Arabidopsis thaliana: one gene and its partners. The protein of the gene in region 2 purifies or fractionates together with the protein of the main gene of each other region. This does not show direct contact. Each region holds a gene or a part of one and is shown on either strand. Other genes may lie near its edges.

Region 1 (5,390 bases), on a different chromosome or scaffold from region 2:
CTTTGTTCCCGGAGCCAATGTGTTTGGTATCGGGAATGGAACAGCCAGTGGTGGTTCTCCTAAAGCTAGAGTCGCGGCTTACAAGGTGTGCTGGCCCCCTGTGGATGGCGCGGAGTGCTTTGATGCTGATATTTTGGCAGCGATTGAGGCTGCCATCGAAGACGGCGTGGATGTTCTCTCGGCTTCAGTGGGAGGAGATGCTGGAGATTACATGAGCGATGGTATAGCCATTGGATCCTTCCACGCCGTCAAAAACGGGGTGACGGTTGTGTGCTCTGCTGGAAATTCAGGTCCTAAGTCTGGCACTGTCTCAAACGTTGCACCATGGGTTATTACAGTCGGTGCTAGCTCCATGGATCGGGAGTTTCAAGCTTTTGTTGAGCTCAAAAACGGCCAAAGCTTCAAGGTTTGATACTTTGACCTCGTCTTCTTTTTTTTTTCTTTCACTTTTGGTTCCTTTCTTTCTTGTGCTACAAGTAATTAATTTTGAAAAGCAGGGAACAAGCCTCTCAAAGCCTTTGCCTGAAGAAAAGATGTATAGCCTCATCAGTGCTGCAGATGCTAATGTAGCCAATGGAAATGTGACAGATGCGTAAGTAAACGCTTGATATCTATTTTTTGGAATGTGTATAATTAAGTAAGTACTAATTAACTAGTGATGGTTACATAGATTGCTATGCAAGAAAGGTAGCCTAGACCCGAAGAAGGTGAAAGGGAAGATCTTGGTGTGTCTGAGAGGAGACAACGCACGTGTGGACAAGGGAATGCAAGCGGCTGCTGCTGGAGCTGCGGGAATGGTTCTATGCAACGACAAGGCGAGTGGAAACGAAATCATCTCAGACGCTCATGTTCTTCCTGCTTCACAAATTGACTACAAAGATGGTGAAACTTTGTTTTCTTACCTAAGTTCCACAAAAGATCCCAAAGGTTACATCAAAGCACCTACCGCTACGCTGAACACAAAGCCTGCTCCTTTCATGGCCTCTTTCTCTTCCAGAGGACCAAACACCATCACACCAGGGATCCTCAAGCCCGACATCACTGCACCCGGTGTCAACATCATAGCCGCCTTCACGGAAGCCACGGGCCCTACAGACTTAGACTCTGACAATCGAAGAACTCCTTTCAACACCGAATCAGGAACTTCCATGTCCTGTCCTCACATCTCCGGTGTCGTTGGTCTTTTGAAAACACTTCACCCTCATTGGAGTCCTGCAGCTATCCGCTCAGCCATCATGACAACTTCAAGAACCAGAAACAACAGACGTAAGCCCATGGTTGATGAATCCTTCAAGAAAGCAAATCCCTTCAGCTACGGTTCAGGCCATGTCCAACCCAATAAAGCCGCCCATCCTGGTCTTGTCTATGATCTCACCACAGGAGACTACTTGGACTTCCTCTGCGCCGTTGGCTACAACAACACCGTGGTTCAACTCTTTGCCGAGGACCCACAGTACACGTGTCGCCAAGGAGCCAATCTTCTCGACTTCAACTACCCTTCAATCACTGTCCCAAACCTCACGGGCTCTATCACCGTCACCCGAAAACTCAAAAACGTTGGACCACCTGCTACCTACAACGCTCGTTTCCGAGAGCCACTTGGAGTTCGCGTCTCCGTGGAGCCAAAACAGCTCACGTTCAACAAAACTGGTGAAGTGAAGATATTTCAGATGACTCTTCGTCCCTTGCCAGTGACGCCTTCAGGCTACGTTTTTGGAGAGCTGACGTGGACTGATTCACATCATTACGTTAGGAGTCCCATCGTCGTCCAACTTTCAAGCTAGCCTCATTCTTCATTCTACTTCATCGTTCTCACTTTTCTTCTATGAATCATTTTATATGTTTGGATAATATTTTAATGTTCAAAAAAAAAATAAAAAAAATTGAATTAAAACACATTCTTTCTTAAAACAGTTTAATTTTATTTTGATGTTAACAAATAACTATCGGCATCATATAATTCATTACCTAAAATAAAATGTATAGCTAGTAAACCAAAAACATTGATTATTTTTATTATCTTTGTGATTAGCATATTTGATTTGCATGTGATTATTAACTTTATTTTTCATTAATCATCTTCTAATTACAGAATTTGTATTAAGGTAAAAATTTGCCAAGTGGACATATGGTGCTTTTTGCGTGTCGTTACGTGAAAGCAGTGACAGAGAAATAAGAAGTGTGTGTGGCTTGGACGACCAAACTAAAAACCACACTCTCGTCTCGGGCTTTTGGGTTAGACCCGGCAACGAAGCGATGCAGACGAGATCCTCTTCCTCTCCTTCGGCTAACCACCGCCGCGAAACCCAGTTGCAGATCGCGGATCCCACCTCGTTTTGCGGCAAGATTATGCCTGGTTGGACCGTCGTGAATCGGCCGCGATCTAGCAACAACGGTGTTGTTGATACGGTAAATATGAGCTACATCAAGCAAATGTGAAACAAAATTTGAGCTTTTTCTCAGAATTTGAACAATTAGAGCTAATTTATGTCTTTTGTGCAATGGATATGTATGACCAAAGTGTAATGCTTGGATCAGATTAGTGATTGTGTTGCCACAGAGCTCTTGATTGTTGCTTGAGAGGTCTATGAGTCGTTTCTTTGGGTATATGCTTGAGTTGAAGATAGATCTTGTGGTTCTCTTCTGAAAAGTCTCATCTTTACTTGTTTTTGTTTTGTTTTGTGGGCAGTACTTTATCGAGCCAGGGACTGGTAGACAGTTTTCATCACTAGAAGCTATTCACAGACACTTGGCTGGAGAAGTAAATGACAGACGCTTGACTCGAGCAGGATCCTTTTTCCAGGACAAGACAAGGGTTTATGAAGGATCAAGAACCAAACAGGTCCTTTGTTCTGATTTGAAATTACAGAAGCATATGGTTCTTCTTGGATCAAATACTTAAAATCAGTGTGTTTATGCTTTTGCAGGATCACTGCGGAGTTGAATATGCCTCCAAAGGTTTCCGATTGCCTAGAGGATGGTCCGTTGAGGAGGTTCCGAGGAAAAACTCTCATTATATTGATAAGGTACTAATGTAGAGACTTGCTATAGCTATTTTAGACCCTATGCATAAGTTACTGAGTCACATAACTAACAACTGAGGTCGGTTAAATGTGGGATGTGAGAAGAGCAGAATGTGAAAAGGATACGTTGAATTGGTGGTTTTAGGATTGAATCTCTGGCTAAACCGTTAGTATTGTTCTTTGCAGTATTATGTTGAGCGAAAAACAGGAAAGCGCTTCCGTTCTCTTGTTTCCGTTGAGAGATACTTAAGAGAATCCCGGAACTCTATAGAGCAGCAGCTTAGGGTTTTACAGAATCGCCGTGGCCATTCCAAAGATTTCAGGTTACCTGATGGATGGATCGTTGAGGAGAAACCGCGAAGAAGTTCCAGTCATATAGACAGGGTACATATCTGATACTTAGGTAGTTTGGTTATATTTGGTTTGTGTCATATAGTCCAAACGTTCAATACCGTTAGTACTGTTGTTTGCAGTCATATATTGAGCCAGGAACAGGGAATAAATTCCGTTCCATGGCAGCCGTTGAGAGATACTTGATATCAGTCGGGAACATTACACTTGACTCGGTTTCTATGGTGCATTCGGAGCGGCTTCCTGTAAGTTTTCTAAGCTTAAAGATAGATGAAGTTTGATTTTAAGCTTTACATCATTTAGAGGTAAAGAAGATGAACCATTTCTATACAAGGTTGTAACGGTTTGACTGTGGCAGCTTCTGATGAACCGGAATGGTATCAGATTTCAGAGCGAAGTTATTGACCCAAACCCACCGAAGAAAGTAAAGTGGGTTCTTACCGGTTCCGGCGGAAACATGTTCACTGCGAATGTACGCGGATCGAATGTCTCTAGCTTGGTTAAACATACATGGTCCGAGGCATTTGTTTCACTGATCGAAGACCGCTCTTAACCGAACTAGGTTTGTCAATTTAGTTTACGGTTAACAAGAGCTAATTCCAGTCGGTAGTCTGTTCAAGTTCATACTTCGGTCTAGTTTATAACTGACCCAAATAACCGGCTTTTCCAAAATTTTCAATTTCATATTCGGTGTGAACCGGATTTTGGTTATTCGGGCAGGTATGTTAGTGCTCATATTAAGTTTGGGGACTTAAAATTCGAAGTTGTCTGTAGTAAGGTGTAAATAATGGTTCAAAATTCCAAGCTTGATGTGAAATGGTTGTCTAAGAATGATTTTGTGTGCTTCCTCTCTAATTTTTGTATTAACAACTTCTCCTCGTTAAACATACTCGCCAAATACTTAGTATGAATCTAACTATAAATGAAAATCAACATTTTGTGTACGCCCCAAGTGGTTCTCACGAGTATAATATAGAAATTTACAAGATTATTTCGATTATGAGAGTCCATCGTTATTACTAACGGTTAAAGCTAGTAGCTCACCTTGGTTTCTTGGATTGAGACTTGAGAGGGTTTATATGACAATTATATCGTATTCCATGTGAGATATAATTACCTCTCTTCACCGGTTTTTGCTGTGAAACTGTAGAAAAAATAATGTTAACTGTAGTAAAACTGTGAAGCACAACGTGTACACGCAATCACAGATCTTTTTACCAAAATATGTATGAATTCACTTCAATGAAGTCAGTCACCTACTGCAAGATCTTATGTATATTTATATAATTATCTCTATATCTATCCTTGAATGTACCGCAATAGACTAGATATATGTCAAATATAATACAGTGTACTTTATTTTGAATTTGGTCTTAACCTTTTTCTTATTTTTGTCAACCTTTACTTTTAACTCAAAAGCAAATATCAATAAGTGAATTATCATATGCTTTGTATGTGTAATTCTATATTTAATTCCTTTTTTGATGTGGAACTTTGACAAAATAAACCAAATTCTTAAAAGTCTGGTTTCCATACTAATGAATGCAGATTGTGGGAATTTATAATGTATTTCTCCTTTTGCATAGAGTTTAATGATGTACAATGAAAAAGATTTTGAATAACAGTGCTATTTAAGACTTCTAGAAATGGGTAAGTGGAAACTTCTAAGATTTCAAAGTCAAAAGACAACATTGTTGTTGGTTATTGAAATTTCTTTTTGGTACGATTATTTTTAAAATATTGTGTACGTGCTGCAAATTGATATTGGAGTTGACGCCACAAAAGCCAAATAGGCCAGAATTAAAGGGCATAGAGACTTTTCCCTGAATAATTTGTAGCCTCAAGGTACCACCCCAACATTGACTCTAAGCTATTTACACTTTCAAGGAAAACTATCACTTTACCACATTTCAATGGAGTATTCAATAGTATATAAATAAATGTTTTCGATGTATTTCTGGTAATTTCTGTAAACTAATCACGCCAAGTCAATTTGTTGGAGGGCGTTTTCCCTAC
Region 2 (8,825 bases):
TACCAACTAATTACTAAATCTTACCAAATCGTTAACAATTGTTTTAGTTTCTATAAAATCTCTAACAATCTTTTTTAAATCATCAGAATATCCTTGACCCCCACCAAATTTATTAGATCCACAAATCAATAAAACAGCAATGAAATAGCTTGATGAATCATATTGTACAGAACATTCAAATGCATAAAGGAAAGAAAAAATGAAAGGATTACGTAAACGGTAAACGAAACTAACACAAATGGTTGAGAGATGGATTTTAGGGTTTAGGTCGGAAACATGGCACGACACACCGGACAAATCCCACTACACCTAAGCCAATCTTCACCACACGTGCGATGAAACACGTGAGAACACGGCATTCGACCCGCAGCCACATCCAATCCAATCCGGATCTTATCCATGCATATCACACACCAACTTTCATTCTCAACAACAACCGTCTCCAAGTGTTGCTCCACCGCTTCATTGCTCGCCGGGGCCACCGCAAGTCTCACATCTACATCATCATCATCATCATCAGGAAACCTCCACACAATAACATTGATGACTACATCTACCTCTTTCACGTTAGAGATCTTATCACACTTCTTTAAATCAAGGATCGCATCAATGAGTTCTGTAACAACATCAATATAACGAGGGGCTTTAATCAAATCAAGAATGTGACAGACAATGACTTGTATTTGCTCCCTATCTCCACTGAAAAGCAATCCTTTATCAAACTCGTGAGTTCGATCAACGAGTAGAGTTTCAAGATCGAGAGGATTTTCATCTTCTCCATCTGAATTTACTTCAGGGGCAAGATTGTAACATAAATGAAACTTGAACATCAAGTTTTGGGTTCTGCCAAAATCGCCTTCATCGTTATAGATCGGATAATAGTAAACGAAGCTGTCGGGGTCTGGATTGACAGCATCAAAAACCATGATTTGTTCGGAAAAATGGGCGTTTTGATATTTGGTATTTAGGGTTTTGAGGCTTGATAAGACTTGAAAATGAAAATGAAAATATAGAATCCTCTTTTATGCGGTTTCCTTATCTTAGTAGGGTTTTCTTTCAAAAAAAAAAAAGTGACGAGAGGATATAGAGAAAGAAACGATCATAGTTTTTTAGTCTAATAATATTATTCCGAATCCTGAGAGCTATCAGAGTCAAGCTGTTCATCAACACAAAGCAACATCTCATCGCTAACATTATTTACTACTCCTAGTCCTAGACCACTAACTTCTTCTAAAGCTGCAGAGGAAGAAGAAGCCCTTGTCGTTTCTTTTCCTTCTTCTGATAACTTTGATACATCTTTCTGCAAACATTCTTCTTCTTCTTCTTCTCCTATAGAGACTACTGTTGTTTTATTTGGCCTATCATTGGCATTGCTGTCTCGGCTTGGGTTCTCTGTTTCTGAAGTTGGTTCTGTTTGATCGGCTCCGAGTGGTACGGGGAAGCCTGGGGATGGCTCATCATCTGAACCTGCTGGAACCATCTGATCACAGCTCTCAACTTGGGTACTCATGGGAGACCCGGCTTTGTCTAGACCTGGCTCTAGATCTGCTTCTTTGTTTGATGGGTTATTGCGTTCTTTAGAAAGACATACACCTGTACAGGAGCAAAAATCAAATGAAGTTCGTTCGAGAGAGAGGGAGAGAGGAGTTGGCTTTACCTTTCATAGTGCTGGGTTTTGTGCTCTCGTATAGTGTTTTCTTGAGCAGAGTTGTCCCAGGGAATACCATCAAGTTTATTCTTTTGAGAGCATCACGCTCTTCATCATCCATGGGTTTGAAGCCAAAACCTTCAGTCCAAGTTTCCACTAAACTCGGCAATGCAGCTACCACAAGCTTCTCCACTTTGAGAGACATAAGCATCTGCAGCCAAAACCAATGAATAGTTTTATCTATTGATAGCCCAGGGATCAAGACAAGACTGGAAGAGAGATCATATGAGCTAAGGGATTATCAAGGTCAGCATATGAGCGGTGCTGTATGTCTATCATTGTACTAAGTTTAGACATTATTAATGTGGATGTAGCTTCAAGAACAACCACATGGTTACATTCTAAATATCGTACCTCTTCAATGGCAGCCACGAGGATTCTACACATGCCCTGTCGGCGATATTTGCTGCACGTAGCTACAAGAGGCATCTCTGCAATAGTTACTCCGTGCACCCTGGATATAGTAAAATGGGGTTTATATGTAACTCGTTCCAGTGGATGGAAGTGAAAGAATAGTTCTAAGCATCCATTTGGTGATAGTGTCAAATTTTGTTTCATTGCCTGGAGGTTCTAGAAGACATACCAAACACTTTGATAGCCATGAGATTACTGTTTTTTCAGCATGAATTCGAGTTTCTTCATACTAACCTGATAGATGCTACTGAGATCATCACATCATCCTTTTCCACAACCACTGTGTAAAACCCATCAAAGTCTAACCGAGCAAATGTTGACCTTTAAGTGCAACAAAGATTCAAAAAAGGTAAGACAAAGCGATGAAAATGAAGAGCAGAACTGAAGGTACAGAAGTAACAAACAGAAATCTAAGTGTGCAAGCTAATGACAAAAGGACGTTACCCCCAGTTGTATAGCACATGAGGTATCATGTCAATACCAGTTCTTGGATCTACCATAGACAGAAAGCTTTCCTCCATAATTGATAGGGCAACAGCTAATTTCGAGTTGCATTCAGCCTTCAGCGCCAACCTTCGGGCAGAATGAACCATTCCATCTTCTTGAAAACATTTAAGAATTGACCAAGACAGACCATCAGCATTAGGGTTAATGATCCCAACACGAGAACTAAGACCATTGTACACCTGCATTACACGAGCTACTTAATGAGAACCTTGAAAGTTGTGAAGCAGCTGTAACATGCTAACATCTTCTTTGTTTATATGTCAAAGAGCCCAAGAGCAGCGAAAAATATACTATTATTCTCAATGTAAATTTAAAAACTACCCATTAGTTGTTTAAGTCACAGTGACTAGGTATGATTAATACCTTCTCGCAATTTTTACCACAAAAGTAGGTCTCTGGAAAAAGCTTTCTGCGTTTACTTATCCCTTGCAAACATGTTCCATGATCTGATAACATAAAGGTAACAATCATCAGCCAAAGTGGATTTCATACCAAAATAACTAATGTGGGATCCAACTGTCGCGAGAGGCATAACTCCAAAAGTGAGTTTTACAAAGTGTCAATTACTAAAGAAAGAAAATTGGAGAAGTGCTGAGCCTGGCAGAAAACCACCATCTACAACTGTTACTGATGAACAGTGACATCAATCGTGATAAAATCTCAGTGAGACATGATAGAAGAGAATTCAAATCAGGGGTTTCCTTTCATGTGATAAAGAAATAAATCATAGTTTCTAAGAGATTGCGAGCTGTAAGATGATTACATTTATGCGCACACTGGGAACATTTAAAGTCCTGAGAGCGTTCAGCATTATCACTAACCAACTCGCTGCATATCCAACATGTGCAGCTCGAGCAATACCAACTTCCTTCAGGGAGCACCTGGGTAGAAAAAGCAAAAGCAATACAGCAACTCTCTTTAGAGGGTACCAATTTAAGGTAAAATATCCTAGTTATACTAATGCCGTGTAAGTTACTAGAGTTGAATTAGTAAGAATCACAGAATCAGCCAAGAAGTTTCACCCATGTGTATGTTTTGCAAAGAGTTAATTACCGGGATAAATAATAGTTAAAATGTAAATATACCCTGGAATGAGTCAGACAATACCTGCATTGATAAGCACGCCTGATGGAAGGTAGATGGACAATTATCACAGCAGATCAGCTCACCCCCATCACCACAAACTCCACAAGAATCATCATTTGGATCATCATCAGAGGCTTTCTCTAATCTCCATCCATTTCTTCGCGCCTTATACTCAGCAGACCAAGCTTCCAGCTGACATGAAGCGAAAGGCTTTCCTGACCCCATGAAAAGATTCAGACATGGACAGTTCTGGTTAAATCCAGCATGGTTCTTGAATTCAGAAAGTGACACAGTCTTGTTGCAACATGTACAAACCACTCCATCTTTAGTTACCAGGCCTGTTTTTACCACAGTATCATCATCTGGATCTCGTAACTGGATTACTTCGTCTCTAGAAATTACTTTGGTAGCTATCAACCATGATAAGACAGTTCTAGGACCCAAAATAGACCAATTTCCTTGAAAAAAATGATTTTCCACATTGCTTGAGCTTCGGGGAAGCAACCTGCACCCTCCCCTATTGTTTCTTTTCTTTGTTCTAGCCTTTGGCTTCTGTGTTTTCTTTTTCTGGCTTGATCTGCTGAACTTACCTTTGTTTCTGGTTATTGTCGACCCCATAAGGTCATCATCTTGAGTATAGTGCTTCCTAGCTTTCTTTCTTCCTTTCTTTGAATTGCAACATGAATTATTCATCTTCTCATTCCTCAACCTTTCATCCCGACTTCCCTTTGAGACGAGGTGAATGTTGCCCATCTCTTTATCCTGGAATTCAAAGCTATTGAGAGAATTAGAATCTAGTGAATCATGTTGGTCCAAGGAAGCTGGTTTGATATCGGATATTTTCTTTGATCTTCTGTGTAAGTTCTTTCTCATAACACTTTCATGCATGTCTTCTGCTATCAATTTTGAAGCTACAATGCCCTTGCTAGCCTCCTGCTCATGAGTCCCAGAGATTTCCTTACCAATTATGCTCTGCCTCTCTAGTCTTGAAGAAACTTTTTGAGAGGAAATTTTAGTTTGCACCTCAAGATCTGAATGTATCTCTTGGTTAGCATCCACGTCATGAACAAGATGACTGCCTTCAGATACTGTCAGCACACTTTCAGGACAGCCTGAAATCAGGTTCAAACAAATTGTATCTTCTTTCTTCAACTTGTCTGGATTTGAATTCCTTGCAACTTCAACTTTATTTCCTTTTCTTAAAGAACCAACTTGCTTAGAAATGAAGACAACAACCACAAAAGGCTCTAAGGCACTCCACCAAAGTGCCCGTGTGTTAGCAAGATTTAAATTTTTCATGTTCTCCTCGATGTCCAACAGTGTAAGAGAGAGATCGGACCAGAAGTCATTAATACCAGTCCATTTCTTAGTACCAGTATCCATTAACTTACGATCAGCTAATAGGATCCCACCCAATGCTTTCCAAGCTGACCCAAATTCACGAAATTTCCGTCCCTCTGGCGATATGTAAAATGTGTCTACATGTTTCCTACCTGCTGATCTTTCGCGCTTCTCAATTTTCCATCTGGCAGCAGTTAGAACCTTACAGACATACTTGTAGAGAAGAGGACGGGGGTCCTCTTTAGGATCAATCTTTAGGCAGGTTTTAGACATAATTAACTCATTAGGAGATACTTTAGATCCGTTGTTCAACTGTAGCGGGAAGCAAGCCTTCTCACTATGCGGCGTAGAAGCACCTACAGAGATCATTCTGGTTGCGAAGCTCTCCTGAGAAACAGGAGAGGCAATAGCTTTAAATTCCTTTCCATCGCATTTGTCCAAGTTTAGTGACTTACACTTTCCAGACACAATGCCACCCAGATAAACTTCTCTTCCCTTTACTATGCTGTGCTTCAACAAATATGAGCTAGTTGAAACACCCTTGTTAGATGATTCAACTAAATGGAGAGGTATCGTCTCTCTAGCTATGTCCGAAGTTGGAAAACCATGCAAAGCAGATCCCTTTTCGTCCCTTGCATCCAAATGCTTATTACCTGAAAGCTTCACTCTCTTAGCTTTAGTGTTAAAATCTGAACCATCTCTTGAAGCAGATGCCTCAAAACCTTGTGGACATGCATATCCACTAGTTACCACAGAGTTGGAACTCAGAGAGGAATTGACATTCTTACTGGAATCACATTCGAAGTTAATGGCTCCAGTAACGAGACATCTTTTAGTAGTATTTCCAGGATCACTTCCAAAGAAAACTTCTCTGAATATCTGATGATCCTCATATGACCCTTCAAAGCAGTCACCTCCTAACATCTCAATCTCAGCTCCGGGAAGCATCTCCACAAACTAACTGCATATTCCACTTCACCTTAACTTAAAAGGAAGGTTGTAGATAGATACCTGCAATTATATAAAGTAATGAATAAACTCACAGAACCCAAAAGTTTGGAACTCGACATCCTAATCCAAAACACATACCCATAAGCGGAAGCGGATTCAAAACAAGATAAAATCAGAGATCCTTCTAGAAAGGCCAAAACTTTGAAGCCTAGAGCAAAACGATAGACCAGATTTCATGAAATTGAGATGTTATAATGACTAATTACATCCAAAAAGAAAGCTCAAAAATTGGGAAATGCAGGACATTACCAGCATGCAGAATGAAATCAGAGCTGTGAAATCGGAGAAATGGCTTCTTCTCACTGAAATAGACTCATTTCGTCGCCCTTATCCTCTCCAACCGCAAGTGGGAAACGCATTTTCATTCCATTTCACGTTCTCTGCACTCACACACTCTCTCTCCTTGATCTCTATCTCACACACAGAAAGAACAACAATTTGTCTATCTTTTTAGCTTTTTCTATAATTGTGGAAGAAACCCACCTCTGATTCGGTGTTAAATCTCTCAACCAAAATTCATCAGATAGATAAATTCTGACGAACTTTTTTTCACCTCTCTGAATCTGCCTCTATCACTTTGTTGTGCACAGTGTGTGTATACTTATTATTGGCTATTTCTTTCTCTTCTCGTTTTTTTTCTTTTTTTCTTTTCTATAAATTGTGTGCTGTCACCAAAAAGGCATCTTCGTGTTTTTATTTTATTTTTCCTTCGTTATACTGAAAAAGTCATTCTTCATTTTTCACCTTAAGATTCTGTCTCCTCTCTGATAACAACGGACCAGCAGTTATAGTATATGGAGTACTTAAATTCGTTTAATTACACAAATTAAAACCCAAATATTCGTCGTTTTTTTCTTCTGTTATCAAATTCTTAATCCTGTTAATGACGATCGTATCACTATAAGCCAATATTAATGACTATGGTTTTAAGTTCTTGACAAAGTTTTTTTTTACTAAATTCGCCACAGACAAAAACTGTTCTGACAAAAATAACAGACAAACTAAAATGAAAAAAAAGGTTAGCATATTTAATTGCCAGGTTTCTAACTGTTCTTCTGTTGTCGTTTTAAATCATTTCAGCTTATGTTTTTGTCCTTTAAAATTCAGTCATCACCGATTGTAACAGGTTTTGTCTTAATATGTATAATCAATATCTGTTAAGTGGATTGGATGCTTTGTAATTTGCGCGGGGAATCTTTACGTGTCTTAACGATAACAAATACTGTACTATCAAATAGGTGCATGCGATGATGGACATAAGTCGTATTTTAACCTATTTTGTTGTGTGAACAGATTAGTTATTGCATGTTTTGTATTAACTATATATAGGAATACGGCTCTGAATCTTTGTTTCTTCTTATTCGATTTTGATATATGAAAATTCCAAAAAGTACATGTACCAGTACGATGAAAACGACTGTGTTATGTGAAAGTATTTGTTTTTAAAAAAAAAAATATTTAGAGGGGATCAATTCTAGATACTTTTTTCATTTTTAAGGTTTAACTATGGTTAAAAAGAAACGATTCTTTTTTAAAAGGGTAGATGGTAGACCTCATTTGCTAATTTTGATCCACATAAGTCAATAACAAATAATTCGGCTCGCTTGCGAAGCTAATGCATGAGCCACGTGTTTTGCTTTATATTTGGCTTTCTGTATTGAGACATTCTTCTTCATCCTAATTGTGAATGGAATATGTTGGACCCAACGAAGCCATCAAACATGGTTAAAACACACAAACATGTGATTTAATCTAGTTTAATTTCGTCTATTACAATATAAGTGAATTTTGACACACATCCTTGGATTATATCTAAAACGTTAAGTTTGTTAAAAACACTTTGGACCGGATAATGGGTATTGATCATTTATTGTTTGTTGCATGTTGGGTTAGAAATTAGAGATCATAACAAAAATCATGATTTCAGGCTGTCCATTTTGAAAAATGTGTGTGTTTGTGTTAATTTGAATACACCGATTCATCCAAAAACCATCTGAACAGTCTCTTAATTAGTTTACCGTGTATATATATCATATTTATGGGATCATATTTGGTTAAGTTTAACTAGTAGTTTCAAATTTCGCGTTAATAGCTATTTGAAAGGGTAGGAGTACTTTTTCGACCGGTTAACACTCCCATATAAAGCCCATAAATTATTGGAACGCTACAAAATTAACAAAACATCTCTTCAGAAGTTCGTCCGGTTTACTCTACTACAAAGTACATGTATCAAAAACGACAACACGTGCTTCCACAAAATTAAGAACCAGGACGTGATGTCGTTGTTGTAATACTTTTTTCTCGCCAACTTCACGCCGTCTTAGTTTACCGAAACCAAAGTGGCTTTTTCTGATTTTATCCAATACAATGACGTGGAAAGACTCAAAAGAAGCTTTCGCCACGTTCCACCAATGAATGTTCGACACGTATCGTCGAGTTTCTTTTTCTTTATGCTTACGTCATCGCACACGTCTATCTTCTTTTGGTTAAAGTGATAAAAAGGAAAGTCGTAAATGGCTTCGTCACTGAGTCTTTCCTACTATTTTAACCCCATTAGTGACACTCCTTTCTTCTCCACTACACTCCATTTCTCTTTCTTCTTGACTCGACCATCGTTTCTCTAATCTCCGCAACTATGGCTTCATTTACGAAAACGGTGTGTGGGGTTTCACGATCCCGAGATCATACTTTTTTCCCTCCTCGTACGTAACGATTTTTTTTTGTGATTATTAATCCAAGGTTTTTTGGCGTCTCTTTT
Region 3 (4,894 bases), on a different chromosome or scaffold from region 2:
TCCTTTGACTGATATTGCCTGCACAATGAGATTACAAAAGGTTATAACTAATTGACATAGTTCAAAGATCAGTTTTCAACGTAAGCTTCAGGAGTGCATACCTTCATGTAAGCATCTATTTCTGGGTCAGGAATGATTCCACCATCCTTTTCTCTTTTACTGACCTCCATCATAATATCTGTTTCAGCAGAGAGATATTTTTGTCACAAAAATAGTTTAAAAAAATGCTTCAGATAGACCATTGGTTTATGAAGACACCTACCTGTTCGGCTACCGACACCTTGACAACGAGCTGAGAAGTCAATTGTCTCCCTTGTAGTCATCTCTGCAATGTGCAGATCATGTTGACTTATATATGCCGATGTTTTCTGAGGAACAACCTCGTTCAGTCCATGTCCATTGTAGGAGATTTCACCATAACACTGTGGAAAATAAAAGAGAGAGAAAAAAAGGAGACATGATTCACACATCTGCAGCAAAAAGCATCCAAAAGAGAAAATATCTAAAACCTTAAGATTGTTTTCCAAATTTCCAGACAAAGCCTTAAGCAGAGTAGTTTTGCCACATCCAGGAGGACCAAGCAACAGTGTTAACCTTGTAAAAACAATAACATACATTAGCTCAAAAGCTTGGATCAAAAGAAAGTACCTCTTGCAACTAACCTTCCCGGGCTAATGATACCGCTAACATCGGTAAGTATTTTTATATTCGCTTCGTTTGTTCTTACACCACTCAGCTTTAACAAGTCCTGAAGAAAAAAAAAAAGTAGAATTCAACACCAGCTACAATCAAGCTTTCATCTGCATTACATTCTTGAGTATACTCACTAAGAAAACGTGCTTCAAAGAGTTCCATAAAGTTGGAAGTGCCTTCCCTTCAACGACCTCACACGCTGCTTCAACACCTAAGTGCTCATACCTCACCTCTATGCTTGGAAACTCCACACCAACCCTGCAGATTTTTTCAAGTTCAAGTCTCATACTTTCAAGAAGCATATTCAGTATTCACTATCAACCTCACCTCTCCATTCTTCTTCTGATTTTCTTGAGAAGTTTGAGATTATCATTCTCAATGTGTTTGATCAGCTTCTCAATCATCAAATGACGTTCCATGGCTCCAAGCTTGGTGACATCAACAACCTTTTTCCCTTTCTCCGTACCTTCACCATATTTGTCGACCAGAGACGATCTCAGCCGTTTAAAAGTTGGCAATCTCTGGATCTCAGCCCATTGCAGAGCATGTTCTGCTTCATCACCACCATCCTCATGCTCGTTTCTTGAAGAACTGCTCCTAAAACTGGATCCCATGTTTTTTTCCAATCTCTGCAAGCTCCACTCACAGTAACTATTGCTCTTCTTCTACACCCAAAGGAGCCATGCCTCAACGGGTCCCTATGTTCTTTGTCTCTCTGTTGAAATGCTCAGAAATCAATTAAGAAATATGCATTTGTCTCCTTCTTATGTATATGTGTAAAATATAATATATGAATTGAGTAAAATGTGTTTTCAAACAGTTAGGTGGTAGAAGGTAAAGGTAATAACATCATGATCTTACTAAAAGAATTGTTGCATACTAACTATCAATATTCTCAACAACATAATATAATGTTTTTTTAGGTAATTTTCCATTTTAATTTTTTGTGATTAAACAATTAAACAACTCGAATGATGATGATAAAAAAAAAAAATTAACAACTCGAATAAGTTAAAGTAGCAATACACATGTCGTTCAATTCAACCAATAAAGTAAGACTTATATTTTTAAGAAGTTGACTAATAGCTTAATAAGTTGGAAAACTTGTGTAGTTTCTTAATTCCCACGTGCAGTAAGAAATAAAAATGAAAAAAATTATTATATCCTTCCCACTCTGCGACTTTTCTTTTATTTTATCAAATATTAAAAAGATTCATATCACAGTTTACACATTGAAATCATAAACGATAATTATGTATTTTGTAATAAAAAGTTAGTTCTGAAGCTCATACTTTGGATAGTCGCTAGTCGCTAATATGCTCCTTGTAATAATTAAAGTCACTACGACGCACGTCAAAGCCGATATTTAGGGCTTAATTGATGCGTGTTTTTCTTTTCATATAATAGTAATATAAATTAGTACTAATAAAGTATGATGGATGGTTGAGACAGAAAAGAAAAAAGATGACTGTATGGTCATCATTACAAAGAAGAATGTATTCTTCATGTTCTTAAGAATAATAAAATGTCACTTGTAAATCAAGTTGGTAAGCATTTTGAGAACTTTGTTCGATGCAACGTATGATGATTTATGTAGACAAAAGATAAAACCGTATCTTCAACTATTGCCAAGAAAAGATAAAACCTAATCTAGTCAGTCTCTCAACATAAATACAACCCAATAGCCAAACTGTGTCCAATTCGGAGAGAAACTAAACTAAAACAAAACACAAAAGCCCAACATAAGCCCAATAAAACCCATTTTATAAACAGAACATTACTAACACTCATTTTTAGGGTTTATTCTTCATTGCTTGAGCTTCCTTCTCTTCTTCTTCTTCAAGCCGCGGCTAAAGATCCCTACTTCTCTCGACACTTATAGAGTTTCAGGTCCATTCTCTGATTCCTGTTTTTTCATTTTCTAATTTCCTATTTACGGGTTTTTACTAATCTTCTATTGATCCTCCAGTCATGGCCGCCTCCGCAGAAATCGACGCTGAGATTCAACAGCAGCTTACCAATGAGGTTAAGCTCTTCAACCGTTGGAGCTTTGATGACGTTTCGGTATATTCCTCACCAATCCCTTCTCTTAGAATATCTCTTTAGACACTTGAGAATTGTCTAGGATCTAATTCTTATTTAGCTGTATGATAGACATTGAAATGATTGGTTTATATTGATATGAGTAGTTACATTAGCTTTATTGTGTGAATTATATCAAATTATAGTCCTCACTTAGTCACTTACTAGATCTTAGCTATTATAATCTTTGTCCGTCTTCACTGAAACCCATGTTGTGTTTGTTTTGATTATAACACTAATTTGACACTAAAGGTCATGTATTTTTTGTGTTTTATATGATTGGTGTGCTAATATTTGTTTTTGATCTGCATATTGGTGTTATGTAGGTTACGGATATTAGTCTTGTGGACTACATTGGTGTTCAGCCATCGAAGCACGCAACTTTTGTTCCCCATACTGCTGGACGATACTCTGTGAAGAGGTTCAGAAAGGCGCAGTGCCCAATTGTTGAGAGGCTCACTAACTCTCTCATGATGCACGGAAGAAACAATGGTAAGAAGTTGATGGCTGTCAGGATCGTCAAGCATGCCATGGAGATTATCCACCTCTTGTCTGACTTGAACCCGATTCAAGTTATCATTGATGCCATTGTTAACAGGTATATTAAGATTGCTATACTGAAACCTGTAAAATTCTTGCGTGCTTGTTACTATGAACTGAATCTAATTAAGAAGGTTTGTTCTTTATGTGAATTAGTGGTCCACGTGAAGATGCTACCAGGATTGGATCTGCTGGTGTGGTTAGGAGGCAGGCTGTTGATATCTCTCCTCTAAGACGTGTGAACCAAGCGATCTTCTTGCTTACAACTGGTGCACGTGAAGCTGCCTTTAGAAACATCAAGACAATCGCTGAGTGCCTTGCTGATGAACTCATCAATGCTGCAAAGGGATCTTCCAACAGGTAAGAACACTCTATCTACATAGTCTGTCTCTTGATGGCTTCACTTTATTGTTAGTTAGTTAAGCTAATAATAGCATCTTCTCTTGTCTTGCAGCTATGCCATCAAGAAGAAAGATGAGATTGAGAGAGTTGCTAAGGCCAATCGTTAAGGGATCTCCCTTTCCTCTAAGTTTGCATTATATCAAAGAGTTTTTGTGTTGTTTCCATTAGCTTTGGATATGTTTCAGATGATCTCTCTATCTTTAATGAAATTTTGACGCTTATAATCGACTTGGGATCTTGATCATCAAACGGTTTCATATTTAAAATTATTTCATCTATATATTTTTCAGTTTAAAGTGCTATAAATCATGGTAGTTATATGGTTTCCAATTTGCTGCTACTCCAAGATAAAAGATGTAGATGGAGCCATGAAAAATTTCAGATAACTCAAACAATCTATTTTGAGTCTCTAAGGACACAACCAATGCCTCTAATTTCCCTGTCAGTCTTCCAAGCACCATGTACATTGCATTTAAAGGCATTTGGGCTCAATGGTGTCCATACCGTAAGTAGCATTTCTGGATGGCAAATCATGTGTATATGCCCACATGGCTCAAGTCGGGTGGTTAAGGGCTTCTCAATTCCGAGACATGACCCGCCTTTCAATCCTACGGACAAGATATACAAGGCGTGATCTTGACATGTGATTCTTTCTCCCTTCGACTCACGCCGCGAAAATGTAAACAAGTATCGGATAGATAACTCATTAAGCTTATGAGTTTATCTTATGTTCCTTGGAAAGGTAGTACAATACCAACGTGGTTACTGAGATCTAGAGGATTTCGATAGACCACCAATGTAATTGAGTTACACCGATGGAAATTGCATTATGTTTAGCAACGTGAACAGAAAAGAAATGGTCCCATGAAGTCAAATTTCTCAAGTTCGATAAACTAAACATATTGAAGAAAGTTACCCCTAAAAAATATAACACACGTTTTTATTTGGATTTGTTAAAATAACATCAATCTTCTTGTCCTTACAATCTTAATGTAAAAACAAATAAATTCACACGATTAATTAACTAATGTGGTATAAAGATTGAAGAAACAGGCATGAATTGATCAAATGGCTTTTGCTTAGGAAGTTGTGAGTGAAGAGCAAATGGTGATTGTATTTACCATTTGCTTCTTCTTTTTTCTCATTCTTAACAAAAAAAGAAAAAGAAAAAAGAAAA
Region 4 (4,811 bases), on a different chromosome or scaffold from region 2:
ATCAATAATCAACAGCTGGGACGAATAGATAAATCAATCAAATACGCAAAGAACCAAAACTGTTATCTTAACAGAAAAGGGTTACCAAGATCAAAGACACGTTTATATCCCTTGATGAAACCTAACACTTTCTCATCGTAGTGAAATCCTGGGTTCCACACAAGAGAGCCATAGCCAAAGACCCACATCACCATTTTCTGCAGTTAATTGCTGTACATACACACACACAAAAAAAAAGACAAAATCTAAGATTTAGACACAAATCATGATTTTGTGGATGGTAAATGCCAGAAAAAGGCACCATGTAGTAAAGACAAGACAAGAGCTAAACAAGTAAGACAAATCACGATGGACCAGCGTTTCTATTGTCACTTCCTCTTTAAATGTAAACAGATAAGCTCAAATATTGGGTTCTCTTCAGGACAGCTCAGAGTTCATAAAAGAATCAAATCTTCTCCCTTTCTTTATTTTGAAAAGCAAGGAAGATTTTCTAGGTAGGTTATGCGTTCCATAGCAATGGTGGTGCAGTTATAACCCGTAAATGACATGAATGAACAAACTTTTGGAACAAAGACAAAAATCTAGTAAACAGTGTTCCCAAATTCTAGAAAGAAGGGAAAAAGGTATTGACTTTTTCTAGCCAGATTTGGTGCAATAATCATATAATCAAACAGAACAGTAAGAACATTTCCTGAACTACAATAAACATAAACACGAGACAGAGAAAATCGCTGAGAACAGAAGCTACTTTAACCAAAATGAGTAAGATGAATAAAAATCAAAACTTTACCCTGGAACACGATCTTCGTGAAGAGAAAAATCAATCCCACCGTGAGACAAGATCTCCTCTCTTAATTAGATGATCCGAGAAAAGCTGAGAAACTCGTGGGAGGAAGAGAGATTGCAGAGAAAAGGGTTGAGCGAACGGCGTCGTTTCGGTTCGTATGGAGCTGGTAATGGTAATGAGACCACTAAGCTCCTTCTCTCCCTCCTTCTCTCTCTCTCTCGGAATCTCTTTCTCTCTGCTCTGCTTCTCGAGATGTATCTTAATGAGGAGGAGGCGATGTGTGGGAAGAAGAGCATTTATAGAGAGAGAGATGGAGACCGAACCGTATTGTTCATGCCACGCATGTTTTTTTTTTTTTTTTGTGTTCTGCAGATTTTTTGTCTGTTCCGTTTTCCATTCGTCACGTGACTGGCCGGTGAAGACGCTTGTTTCTAAAAGAAATATCTTTGTTCTCTAAACAAGGTATCTCATGTTAAGAAATTTTTAATCTAATTCATAAATTGAAATATTTGTTTTGTTTCTTATGGAAACTCATATATCCAAAATCTAGAATTTATTTGTTCATCTCACTATTTTTGAAGCCAAACACATTCCTAAAATATTCCAAGTTTCAAATAATTTGTCTACCTTGGTAGCTAAAGACAAAAAAGTGTTTTCCTTTTTTTTTTTATTGGCTTATTTAAAAAGTGTTAAAATTTGAATTTTGAGGCAAACAAAGACACAGTCACAAAAACACAAACGTCAGAATGTATTTGTTACACAAAGCCATATACATACATTGCCATCACCGACGTCACTGGTACATAAAAATAAGACTAAACTATCAAATGTTTCCCACGACTAATCGCTTCTTCTCGAATTATACCATAAAAAATATTTCTAGAAAGCAAAAACTAGATGAATCTCCACAAAAATATCTTTGTTTATTTCAAATATCAAATTGGAATAAATGCATTATTATAATTGTTACTATGCTTTTTGAGGATTGGATCACTCATCAGGCGAGTGAGTGTATTCTATATTGGATGATGAGGTCTTGTAATTTGGAAATGTTCAGTAAAATACTACATGTTAAAGTGGGTTCGCTTGACTCATAGTAAAGATTTTTGTCTAAAAATTTATACTATTAATTTGACAAAGAACAACAAATTATTTTTCTCTTCAAAATCAATATCTAATTATAGTTTGGGCCATTTAAACAAAAAAAATAGGTTTGGGCCGAATTCAATAAAAAAACGTTTGGGCCTGTTGACAGATAACATCAATAAAATTTGCTTCGGCTTCACTCGGTTCCTCATCGTCTTGGAGCAAACTTCAAAGTGACTTGCCTGGCGTCGACGTGTCGTTTTCCAGAAGCAGTTTCCGGCGATCTGGTAATTTTTTATGCTCAAAGTTGTCTTCTTTCTTCTTTCTTCTTTCTCCAGTTTGGAATTCTCCAGTCGTGTTCGTCTGGATTCTTGTTTGAATTTTGTATCTGATTTGTTTGGTACCGAGTTATTATTCTTCAATGTTGAAAAATCTAGCTGCATTTTTTGTGGAGTTTATCTGTGTACTTTAGTTCCTGAATTTCAATATCGCTTACCATTCTCAGATTTATACAAAACTCAGAAACATGAAGATGCACCTCTTTGGTTATTGTTCATTGACAATAGGTTTTATTAGAGTTTCAAATCACAGTTATGTTGTAATGTCTTTACTGATGATGATGATATTAACGAGGTTGGTAAACCAAATTGCAGTTTAAGCCTTTTTGGATGGAGGAAGGAACTTCAGGTTCACGGAGAACACGGTCTCAAGTTGCTCCAGAATGGGCAGTCAAAGATTGTCTAGTCCTCGTGAATGAGATCGCTGCGGTTGAAGCCGATTGTTCGAATGCTTTATCTAGCTTCCAGAAATGGACAATGATCACAGAGAACTGCAACGCTTTGGATGTTAGCAGAAATCTAAACCAATGCAGGAGGAAATGGGATTCTTTGATGTCTGATTACAATCAGATCAAGAAGTGGGAATCTCAGTACCGAGGCACTGGTCGTTCCTATTGGTCCCTGAGTAGTGACAAGAGGAAGTTACTTAATCTCCCGGGGGATATCGATATCGAGCTTTTTGAAGCCATCAATGCGGTTGTGATGATCCAAGATGAAAAAGCTGGGACTGAATCTGATAGTGACCCTGAAGCGCAAGACGTTGTTGATCTCTCTGCTGAATTAGGTACACTATACACTATCCTTTTCTTGCCCCATTACTAAATGAAACTAGGCCTTTAAGGAATCTTAAGAACAAATAGTGCATAGACAGACTTATTCACTTCTTCAAGATACAGAATGACGAAAATTGTCGGTGTAGTTATAGTTGAAATATATGTAGAACACTTTGCTACCGTGAGCTACACTATGATTATATTGCTCTTTTTGTAGTCACCATCTTCAGGTAAACTCTGAACTGCTATATTTGGAGTTACTCGGATCAGTCCAGAATCACTGACACACTGACACTCTTCTTATGCTAACCATTTGAATCACTCTGGTTTTAAATTCAGCTTTTGTAGGATCAAAAAGATCAAGACAGCGAACAATGGTCATGAAGGAGACAAAGAAAGAAGAGCCACGGACTAGCCGAGTTCAAGTAAACACTCGAGAGAAACCTATAACTACAAAAGCAACCCATCAGAACAAAACCATGGGAGAGAAGAAGCCGGTGGAAGATATGTCCACAGATGAAGAAGAAGATGAAACAATGAACATAGAAGAGGATGTAGAAGTGATGGAAGCGAAGCTAAGTTATAAAATTGACTTGATACATGCGATAGTCGGGAGAAATCTAGCAAAGGATAATGAAACAAAGGATGGTGTTAGTATGGACGACAAGTTGAAGTCTGTGAGACAGCAAGGAGACGAGCTCATCGGTTGTCTGAGTGAAATTGTTAGTACCCTTAATAGGCTTCATGAAGTTCCACAAGAAATCGAGTGATTTACAATGTGAATAAACTATCAGTTGTAAATGCTTAGCCATGAATCGTAATAATGTTGTAGACTTGTAGACTTTCAAAAGCTGTCTGTAATCTGTCAAGTATACATACAAAACAGGGCAAAAGCATAAAAATCCGACTCCACTGGGGATCGAACCCAGAATCTCTGGTTTCGTAGACCAGCGCCTTATCCATTGGGCCATGGAGTCTTTTGTGTTTAACAATTGGAAATCGACTTTGTATAATAATTCGTACTGATTCTATACTTTCAAGCTATGCAATATATCCCAATGTTCTTTAGTATCTTACCAGCTTGTGGATTTGGTGTCCCCAAAGTGTATAAGATTTAACAATGTCATAAGTAACATAGTAAGAGGTTACATAGAATTTGTTCAGAGAATGTTGCAAACTGCAAAAAAGAAGAAGATAAATTATGGCTTTGGCACAGCTCTCGCTTGATTCATGGCATCCATAAGATGAGCCCTCAAAGCATCCGGATCACGCAATGATGGGCTTGAAGTCAAAAGTACCTGGAGGAAGAAACTCCTTGGAGAGCTTCCTCATTGCCTCCAAAGCAGCCGGTTCTATCATTCGTAGCTTATACCCAGACAAAGTTAAGTCTGAAATTCCAATTCAAGATATCCGATCTTGCGGTGGTGTTCTCGCTTCCGTCCAGACTCCAAATATATTTTCTGTCTGAATATCAATTACGAAATAAAGGGATCGCCATCCAAAACACACACATTTATAACGACCTATACAAGACGAGCGTGGTTTTAGTTTTACACTTTTTAATTAACTGTTTTATGTTTACCAAGCTCCTAATTTGACATGAAATATGGAGCCAAAAGTTTTGTAGAACAAAAAGCTGTCGTTGATAAAGGGATATTATTTCAGACATTGCAGGATTGAGTAACACACCGTTCTTTGCTCCACAACAAAATAAAGTATTTGATTGGTGATGATTACAATTTACAAGTTTACAACAAGAAAGCTTCAAAATAAAGCATTTCTGCACTTTAAAAGATCGCTAAATCTGATAGAGGCCATTTGGTTATG

The links.
Region 1: the proteins of ROS4 (region 2) and MBD7 purify together in Arabidopsis thaliana (affinity purification with western blotting; one study listed by BioGRID). This does not show direct contact.
Region 3: the proteins of ROS4 (region 2) and RPS5B purify together in Arabidopsis thaliana (affinity purification with mass spectrometry, with the first as the bait; one study listed by BioGRID). This does not show direct contact.
Region 4: the proteins of ROS4 (region 2) and AT4G31270 purify together in Arabidopsis thaliana (affinity purification with mass spectrometry, with the first as the bait; one study listed by BioGRID). This does not show direct contact.

What each region holds. Positions count from the first base shown.
Region 1 is NC_003076.8:24,093,289-24,098,678, reverse strand, and holds MBD7 (methyl-CPG-binding domain 7), read left to right. Parts: upstream 1-2,146; 5' UTR 2,147-2,256; coding exon 2,257-2,409; intron 2,410-2,689; coding exon 2,690-2,842; intron 2,843-2,927; coding exon 2,928-3,026; intron 3,027-3,209; coding exon 3,210-3,407; intron 3,408-3,496; coding exon 3,497-3,619; intron 3,620-3,732; coding exon 3,733-3,927; 3' UTR 3,928-4,320; downstream 4,321-5,390. Other genes in the region: SBT5.4 (Subtilase family protein), read left to right, coding at 1-406, 498-592, 671-1,784. UniProt on the Arabidopsis thaliana protein: Transcriptional regulator that binds CpG islands in promoters where the DNA is methylated at position 5 of cytosine within CpG dinucleotides.
Region 2 is NC_003074.8:5,038,808-5,047,632, forward strand, and holds ROS4 (Acyl-CoA N-acyltransferase with RING/FYVE/PHD-type zinc finger protein), read right to left. Parts: upstream 6,719-8,825; 5' UTR 6,522-6,718; coding exon of another isoform or gene 6,303-6,521; intron 6,216-6,302; exon of another isoform or gene 6,146-6,215; intron 6,068-6,145; 5' UTR 6,005-6,067; coding exon 3,737-6,004; intron 3,511-3,736; coding exon 3,393-3,510; intron 3,076-3,392; coding exon 2,993-3,075; intron 2,809-2,992; coding exon 2,567-2,808; intron 2,444-2,566; coding exon 2,357-2,443; coding exon of another isoform or gene 2,347-2,356; exon of another isoform or gene 2,163-2,346; coding exon 2,063-2,162; intron 1,860-2,062; coding exon 1,658-1,859; coding exon of another isoform or gene 1,611-1,657; exon of another isoform or gene 1,594-1,610; coding exon 1,124-1,593; 3' UTR 1,005-1,123; downstream 1-1,004. Other genes in the region: AT3G14970 (RING/U-box superfamily protein), read right to left, coding at 264-926; AT3G14981 (uncharacterized protein), read left to right, coding at 6,303-6,521; DJ1A (Class I glutamine amidotransferase-like superfamily protein), read left to right, coding at 8,703-8,723. UniProt on the Arabidopsis thaliana protein: Histone H3 acetyltransferase that binds methylated DNA at chromatin sites lacking histone H3K4 di- or trimethylation and catalyzes H3K18 and H3K23 acetylation. Prevents the transcriptional silencing of transgenes and of some endogenous genes.
Region 3 is NC_003071.7:15,646,813-15,651,706, reverse strand, and holds RPS5B (ribosomal protein 5B), read left to right. Parts: upstream 1-2,235; 5' UTR 2,236-2,583; exon of another isoform or gene 2,584-2,662; 5' UTR 2,663-2,664; coding exon 2,665-2,757; intron 2,758-3,101; coding exon 3,102-3,373; intron 3,374-3,471; coding exon 3,472-3,675; intron 3,676-3,769; coding exon 3,770-3,824; 3' UTR 3,825-4,030; downstream 4,031-4,894. Other genes in the region: ABCG33 (pleiotropic drug resistance 5), read right to left, coding at 1-18, 102-178, 263-594, 663-748, 828-951, 1,021-1,307.
Region 4 is NC_003075.7:15,182,234-15,187,044, reverse strand, and holds AT4G31270 (sequence-specific DNA binding transcription factor), read left to right. Parts: upstream 1-2,083; 5' UTR 2,084-2,160; intron 2,161-2,526; 5' UTR 2,527-2,541; coding exon 2,542-2,995; intron 2,996-3,323; coding exon 3,324-3,754; 3' UTR 3,755-3,857; downstream 3,858-4,811. Other genes in the region: AT4G31290 (ChaC-like family protein), read right to left, coding at 86-194; AT4G31280 (uncharacterized protein), read left to right, coding at 1,040-1,116, 1,160-1,244; AT4G31260 (uncharacterized protein), read left to right, coding at 4,258-4,452.